2 linked regions of the Struthio camelus genome follow. The protein of the gene in region 1 interacts with the protein of each later gene in a biochemical or structural test. Links are inferred from orthologs where the notes say so. Each region holds a gene or a part of one and is shown on either strand. Other genes may lie near its edges. The genes, in order: EYA2 and SIX1.

Evidence for each region.
Region 2: the proteins of EYA2 (region 1) and SIX1 form a complex in vitro, tested with the Homo sapiens proteins (2 studies listed by IntAct, with this or other methods). The link is inferred for Struthio camelus from reciprocal best matches to the Homo sapiens genes EYA2 and SIX1.

The regions. Positions count from the first base shown.
Region 1 is NC_090959.1:8,470,562-8,474,463, reverse strand, and holds the start of EYA2 (eyes absent homolog 2), read right to left. Parts: upstream 2,299-3,902; 5' UTR 2,246-2,298; coding exon 2,181-2,245; intron 1-2,180. UniProt on the Homo sapiens protein: Functions both as protein phosphatase and as transcriptional coactivator for SIX1, and probably also for SIX2, SIX4 and SIX5.
Region 2 is NC_090946.1:77,109,098-77,112,999, reverse strand, and holds the start of SIX1 (homeobox protein SIX1), read right to left. Parts: upstream 2,559-3,902; 5' UTR 2,521-2,558; coding exon 1,961-2,520; intron 635-1,960; coding exon 346-634; 3' UTR 1-345. UniProt on the Homo sapiens protein: Transcription factor that is involved in the regulation of cell proliferation, apoptosis and embryonic development. Plays an important role in the development of several organs, including kidney, muscle and inner ear.

The sequences.
Region 1 (3,902 bases):
ATATTAGCAATCGTTTCCACAGATTAAGTCTAACGACGTGTGAACTTATCGCAGAAGAGATTTCCTGCAAAGAGTAATTAGTCTTCAGCAGTGTTCTTGCCTGTTCTCCAGCTGAAGACACCTTAAAACCATCTGCTCGCTACAAAGCTTGGCACAGAAGAAACAAATCTTACTGAAGATAATTATAACTGATTTTAGAATAGCTGTTGTACTACTACATGTCATAAATAGTTGGGAAGATAGTAGAAGACTACTAACTTATTTAATTGTTTTTTGCCAAGAGTATGCATATATGCACACTGATCACACAAATACAGCCACACTGACTTCAGGGGGACTCCTTACAAGCTTGAAGTTAAATATCCACTTAATTTTTGCAGAATTAATAGTTAAACTATTTAATTTTCAGAAAAATATAACTTGTTCAATCACCTAAGAGCTACAAAACAGCAACACAAGGGGAATTCTTTAAGTGATATTCTGACATCTTGTTCTTAACATGAGTACCTGAGCTTAATTCCTTCATATAATCAAGGTATACCCACACGCATCACGTAGCTGAATACGGATGTTACTGTTGGAGGGGGAATTATCAATGTTGTTCTTCCTAAGGAAGCTCTTTTAATGAAATTTAAGACTGCCAAAGTCGTAAGATTTGAAGCAACAGCCCATTTCAAACATTTAAACATTTCAACCAAACACTGGTGATACGATTTGCGAGTCATGGGAACCAAGTCTCTATGTAGCACTTAAAAAAAAAAAAAAAGCAGCGCTGTGGAGAGTGGGCTAAACAAAGCAAAACAAAACGGTGAGCCTAAAACCAAACAAATACAAAGCTTGCTATTTAGCAAACTGCTCTGAAATTTTTGGGGGGTGGGGGGGCTCTGAGAGGAAGAGGCAAGAGAATCGCATGGACAACTTGACTCTTAACTTTACAATTTAATTTTGACTCAAACGGCAAGAAATTGTTTTTTGAAGAGAAAATAATTAAATCAAGTTATCAACTGCAATGTCATTTCACATGAATTTTCAAAACATGCTTAAAGAGACTTTGGAATGTTTCCAAAGCTGCAAGCTCTAATTATTTTCAGGGTATTTGTACCCTTTCCTATCTGCACATGTAACATTTAAGGCCACATGATGCCTTCAATATCAGAGCAGATAAAAAAAAGACCAGCTTTAAGAAAAAGTAAAGGTTGATATAAGCCAAAGAAGAAAAGAAGAAAGCTTATCCTGCATCCAACAACCTCTAATAGACAAGCAACAACGCAATGAGAGACATATAAAGGAGTTAAGAACCATTCATTTAAACGCAGAACAACTATGTTAAATATATGCTATCTTTGGGGGACCAGACAGCTCAAATACACGCAGCTGTAAGCAGGCAGAAGTTAGACACGGTTTCCCAAAGTATTGGGGGAAAAGCTCTCTATGGAGAGCGCTCCAGAGACGGGAAATTCTCAAAGTTACAAAGTCCAGGAGAAAGATTAAACAGTAAACTATTCCTGCCATTGACATTAGCAGCGTTAAGGGATAGGTGCATTTGATATTACACTGAATAAAATGTCTGTTAGTAAGTTTCATGTAGACCAATAAACTGTTTATTGGTCAACCGTATATATTTTAACGATTAAAATTTCATCCAAAAGAACATATAATTTGAAAAATCTAAAAACAGCAGCTGTATACCACGAATAATTTCCTTCAGAGGCCAGTCGCTGGGCTCAATCATAATTTAACACTCAATAAGTTCACTTAAAGCGTATAAATCACTAGAAGTTTTCCCTCATACGAGCAAATGCAAAAAAGCGCATTAACTCCTTTTATTTAAACGCGCGCTTAAGTCAGCGGAACAATTATTAAACGCAACGCGGCTAGTTTGAGGGCCGAGTTAAACGCCACGCCGTGCCCCGAGACCACACCGCGAACCCAGGGCTGCAGCCCCGCGCCGCAGCCGGCCCCGCGCCCGCCGCCCTCCGCCGGGGCCAGCGCCCCGCTCCGCGCGGGGAGGCGGTTTCGCACTTTCCGCTACCGCGGGCGAGCAGATCCCAGCTGCACAGCTCGCCCGCAGCCGCCGGGCCCCCTCCGCGGGCGCGGACAGAGCAGTCGAGAGGATTAGCCGCGTATGCCAGCGCCCCCGCGCAGGGCGAGCCGCGCCGTGCCCCCGCGCCCCTACTCACCGGAGGTGCAGCGCAGAGCCGCGGCGCTGCGGAGTGTGCGCGCCCGCTGCGGGCGCAGTGAGCATGTGCGAGGCAGGCGCGCATGCCCGCGGAAAGGAGCGGAGCGGGGCGGCGGCTCCGCGCTGCGCCGGGGGCTCGCCCGGCCTCCCCCCTCCGCGCCGTGCCGGCAGCGCGCCTCTCCGCGGGGCAGCGCGGCGCGCGCAGGGGCCGCTCCGGCCCGCGCGGGCGGCTTGGAACCGCGTAACGCGACCTGTTGCTTCCGCAGGAGCGAGCACAGCCCCCCGCCCCGCCGCGCACCTACCGCTCGCGCGGTGCCGCCGTGCCGCCCCGCCGCACTGCGCGGCCGCGGAGGGGGGGGGAAGGAGGAGGAGAAGGAGGGGCTTCCGCGGGCGCGGCGCCGGCAGCCGCGGCCGGAGGCGCGCCCCGCTGCGAGCCGGGAGCCGCCGCCGCGCACCCGCGGCCGCTCCGCCGCCGCTTATAGCCGCGGCCGGCCCGCGCCTCCACGTGATAGCGGGCGCTCTCCGGGCGCGCTTTTGTCCTCCCCGCCGCAGCGCTACCTTCCGAAGCGCTCACGCTACGCTGTTTTGAAAAGCTGTTTGCGGCTTACAGCCTTGGCATCCGCGTACCGTCTCAGCCACGGGCTCCGCTCCGCTGCGGACGCATCCTGCTTCCGCAGAGACTCCGCAGTCTTTGCGTTAATAGTCTCTTGACCACCTAGTGACAATTTGTAAATGTTAGTTTAAACAAAGAATGCTTTTTTGTGACCGTTTCCTTTGACGCGCACCGCACCGCAGAGTTGCTGCTGGGTGCGTTCAGGCTGGGTCCTGCAAACGCACAGAAATCCCTGTTCTCACGTGAGCCGTCCCTCCACACTCACAAGTGTGGACGCTCACACGTCTCCGGACCAGAAAACCCCTGGTGCCACCTTGCTTTGGTCTGCAATACCGTCAAGGGCGCCAGGACTCAGGGACACAGAGGTGCTCCATCTCCCGTGTCCACTCAAGACCTGAGACCCCTCTGGTACAGGCACCCAGAGTGGGACTTCCGTCTGTCACCAATTTGAGCCCAATTGCAGCTTCTCTGCTTGTCTCCCCGAAAGCAGGGAAGCATCTGAGGAGACCAGTGCGTCGGCACCCCAGGGGGTTTTATTATACCTCACCTCACCTTTCTCCTGGACAGCAATACCCTACGAATTGCAGGGGAAGGGAAAAGCCAAAGGAGCAGAAAGGGTGTTGAGTTCAGGGCTTGAACAAGCTGCAGCCCACTCATGGATTTAACTCAAAATTTTGACAATGGAACAAAAACATCATTGCAACTAGACAGCTGTTTTTACTATCAAAACCTCTCAGATCAGTTTGACTGCAAAGTGTGTTCCTACAGTCCAAAGGAGACAAAGCTCCTAGCATCAGTCCAGAGCTGGCAAACTTCCTAGCATGAGCTACCTCCCGCCGGCCTAGGAAAACCAAAGCTCTTTCAGTTGTTATTCCCCATCAGTTCTCAGCACTAACCCTGTGATTTCCCCGCGGATTATCTGCAGTTCTGAATTTACACCGCTCTCACGTTAAACCGGGAGAGAGTGCTTGGTGGTTCTAGGACTTCCTTGCTGCCCTTAACTGTAATCTGCCTTTTGGTGAGGAGCCTCTTGAGTATAAGCAAGCACCTATGTCCTTAGGACCTGTCTCAAAAAATTTCCCCCTACCCGGAAACCCGGTTGCCACATTT
Region 2 (3,902 bases), on another chromosome or scaffold:
CCGGCTGGTTTTTTTGTTGGTGGTGGTTTGGGGTTTTTTTTTCTTTTTTATTTTTTATTTTTGTAATTCCCGCTGGGACCAGCTCGTTTGAACTCGAAAGGAAGAGGGTTTCTGCCGCTCTCTGCGTTTGGCTACGTGGAAAAAAAATAATGGTGCTAGTGGGAGACGCTGGGGCGGGGACGGACTGGCCCAGGAGCCGATGTGGGGACGTATGAGAAGAGCCGGGAGTCCCGTCGAGAATCACCGGGTAAGCTGTAAAACCGTGTGCTGTCCGCTATGTACAACCGAGGGTCTCTATCCCCGAGGTAAGCCTCCTCTGCCATCGCTCCGGCCGCCGCGGCCCCTTTAGGAGCCCAGATCCACCAGGCTGGACGTGAGGGGTCCCAGCAGCGAGTCCTGGAGCTGGTGCCCTTGGAGGCTGTGCGCGGTCTGCGAGGCGGCGAGGCCGCCCAGGGCGTAGCCGGAGCTCCTGGCGTGGCCGAGGTTGCCCTGCAGCAGGAGGACCGAGTTCTGATCGGGGCTCTGCGGCGGCGAAAACTCTTCCTCCGAGCTGGACATGAGGGGTTTGCTCCCGTCCAAGGGCGACAGCTGGTTCGGCTTGTTGGTGGCCGCGTTGTTGTTTTCCGTGTTCTCCCTGCGGAAGGCAGAAATAAACAGCGGGGCCGTTACCGCGGGGCAGCGGCGGGAGGCGCCCGGGCCGCGGCCGCGCCAGCGGCGGGGGGGGGGGGGACGCGGCCGCCGCGGCGCTCAGGCCCCCGGCGGAGCCCGTGGGTTTGGTTTTACTGTGCTAGCAGAAGCCTCTCCCCAAGCAACATTAAAAAAAAAGCGTCTAATATTTTAATAACGGATCGTCCCCGCAGCTGCCGTTCTTGGCCCCCTATTTAGACAGCTGCGCCCCATCATGTAAACCGAAGTGCCTGTTAATTTAGGTGAGGGGGGAAGGTTGAGTGGTGAGGGGGGATTACAAATTTTTTCCCCCCTCTCCTTTTAATTAAATTACAACTTAAAGCATGGCTCCGAGGCCCAGAAACGCACTCAGCGCTTGGAGGGACTCGGAAAGGTTTTCTCCGAAAATGGGGGAGGTGGGAAGGCTCCTAGCGGGGACACAAAACCAGGGACGATGCGTGCTGGGGCCGAGGCCACCGCTCCGGCTGCCGGGCCCGGCCAGCGGCCTGGCTCCGGGGCAGAGGCGGCAGCGGGCTGAGCCGGGCCGCGGCCCCGAGGGGAGCCCGGCCAGCGGGTCCCAGCCCGGACTCCCGCCGCATCCTGCCCTCGCCCGCCCGTGGCGCCGCTCCCCCCGGCCTCGGGGCCGCCCCCGCGCCGTGCCCGGCCGAGGAGAGCCCCGGCTCCGGCTCCCTCGGGGCCGGGGCCGCCACCCGCGCTTCCCCCGCCGGCTGCGGCCGCGCCGCTGCCCGCCCGCCCGGGGCGGAAGGCACCAAACAAAAGGCGGGGGCGGCGGAGCGGCCTGGAGAGGCCGGTGAGGGGCTCGCTGCCCCCGGGCAGGTGGGGCCGGGGCCGCTCGCTCCCCCCGCCTCCTCCTGCCGCCAAGCGCGGAAAGCACCCCGGTGCCAGCGCCGCGGCTCCCCTCCGCGCAGCGCGTTTGCAGGGGGAAGCGACACGCAGTTATCCGCGGCAGAAAAAAATAAAATACATGTTTAAAAAAGCGATGCGGAGGCAGCGAGGTATTTACGCGGCTCGCTCCGCTGCCTCAGCCTGGCGCTGCCCGGCCGGCTGCAGCGCGGCGCGGAGCAGGAGCCGAGCAAGGGCCCGCCCGAGCTGCCCTGGGCCGGGCCGGCACCCCGCGGCGGCCGGGCAGCCGCGCTGCCTGCGCCGGGCTCGGGCTCGCCGCGCTGCCCCCCGCGCCCGACCTCCGCCTGCCACCCCGCCGCGGGGCCGGGAGAAGGAAGGGGTGCGGGGTCGGGGAGGGGGGGGGGCGGTTGCGACCTCCAGGCAAAAGTACCTTTCCTTCGCCTCCGCCGCTCGGTCCCGCTGCCTCCTGTTCTTGAACCAGTTGCTGACCTGGGTGGTGGTGAGGCCGGTGGCTTCCGCCAGCTCCCGCTTCTCGCGGGGCGACGGGTAGGGGTTGTGCGCGTACCACTCCCGCAGCACGCCCCGCGACTTCTCCTTGAAGCAGTAGCTGGTCTCCTCGCCGTCCCAGATGGTGCGCGGCAGCGGGAATTTTCGGCGCACGCGGTACTTGCCCACGGCGCCCAGGGGCCGTCCCCGCAGCTTCTCGGCTTCCACGTAGTGCGCCTTGAGCCAGAGCTGCTGCAGCTTGGGGTGGTTGTGGGGCGAGAACTGGTGGCTCTCCAGGATCTTGTAGAGCTCGCGGAAGTTGCCCCGGTGGAAAGCCACCACCGCCTTGGCCTTGAGGACGCTCTCGTTCTTGTGCAGGTGGTCGCAGGCCGGCAGCGACCAGAGGAACCGGCCGAGCCTCTCCAGGTTCCCCCCTTGCTGCAGCACTTCGCAGACGCAGGCGACCTGCTCCTGCGTGAAGCCAAAGGAAGGCAGCATCGACATGGCCAGGGCTCCGCGCCGGGCACGGCCGGCGGGGCGCGGGGAAGGCGGCGGCGGGCGAGGGGCACCGCGCGCGACGCGATGGCCGCTGCGCGGAGCGCGCAGGCAGCCGCCCGCCGGGCCCTTTCCCGTGCGCCGAGCGGGGAGGCGCGGAGCAGCCGGGGGCGGGCGGCGCAGCGGCCAGGCGAGCGGGGATGCTCGGCGCGGCGCCGGGGGGACTTTGTCCCCGCTCCGCCGCCGCCGCGCTTAAAGCGCCCGAGCCCCCGCGCCGCGCTGATTGGGCGCCCGCGGCTCGGCCCCCGCCGCGGCGGGCCCGGCCCGGCCCGGCCCAGCCCGGCCCAGCCCGGCCCGGCGGGCAGAGCCTCGGCACGGGCGGGCGGGGCCTGGCGGCGCGGTCCCGGCCCCGGCCCCGGCCGCCGCGGCTGCGCTTCCCGCCGCCGCCTCTGCGCGGGTGCGGGTGCGGCCGCGGGGGGAGCCCCGCTGACTGCTACGGGCGCATCTCTGGGAGGAAAAAAAAAAAAAAAAGAAAAACACACACACACACACACACACACGCTCCTGGCGGACTTCTTCTTTTCTTTCTTCCTTTCTGTTTTTCCTAATCCCCCACCCCCTACGCCCGCTCCCTGTCCTCCTCGGATCGGCTCGTTCCATGCGAGCCCATATTTAATTACCTTAATGTTGGGGATGAATAAATAATGGCTTGATGAATAGCGTATGCAGCACGCTGAGTAACAGCGCGGAGGCGCAGCCCGCTGCGGGAGCGCGGAGCGGGGCCGGTCGTCCTGCCCCCACCCCGGCCCCCTGCCCGGCCCCGGCTCTGCCCCGCGGAGCCAGGCGGGATCCCGGCGGGCCCCGGCGCCCCGGGCCCGGCAGCGCGGGCGCGGCAGGTCGGCGAGGAGCCTTTCGCCGGCTCGCCCCGAGGAAGCCGTGCGTGCGCCGGGTAGCAAAACCGCACCGACCGGCGGCGCTTTAATTACCCTAATCCTCATTTGCACACCTCGCTCGAAAGCCATTATTTAAAAAATTAGAAAACAATTAGCCTCCCTAAGCAAAGATAATCTATTGTCAGTAGCCAGGACGGGTTGAGAGATGAGGACAATGCGCTGAGATAAGGGCAAGGGAATGGTGGGAAGAGGGTGTCTTTATGACTGTATTTATCTTTGATTAGATAAGTAGCAACCAGTATTTTAAGCGCACTTCAGAACGCTTTTGATTAAAGAACGAGTTCACTTAGTGGGTGCTAATAACAATCGCAGGGCTCTTTAAAACCTGTTTGTCCTCACTAAATACGTTTTGATTTGTTTGACTTTAAATGCTTAAAGTGAAGAGCAGCCCATTTGTGGCCGAGGCGGAGAGCGGCTCCGAGCCGCTCGCGGTGCCCG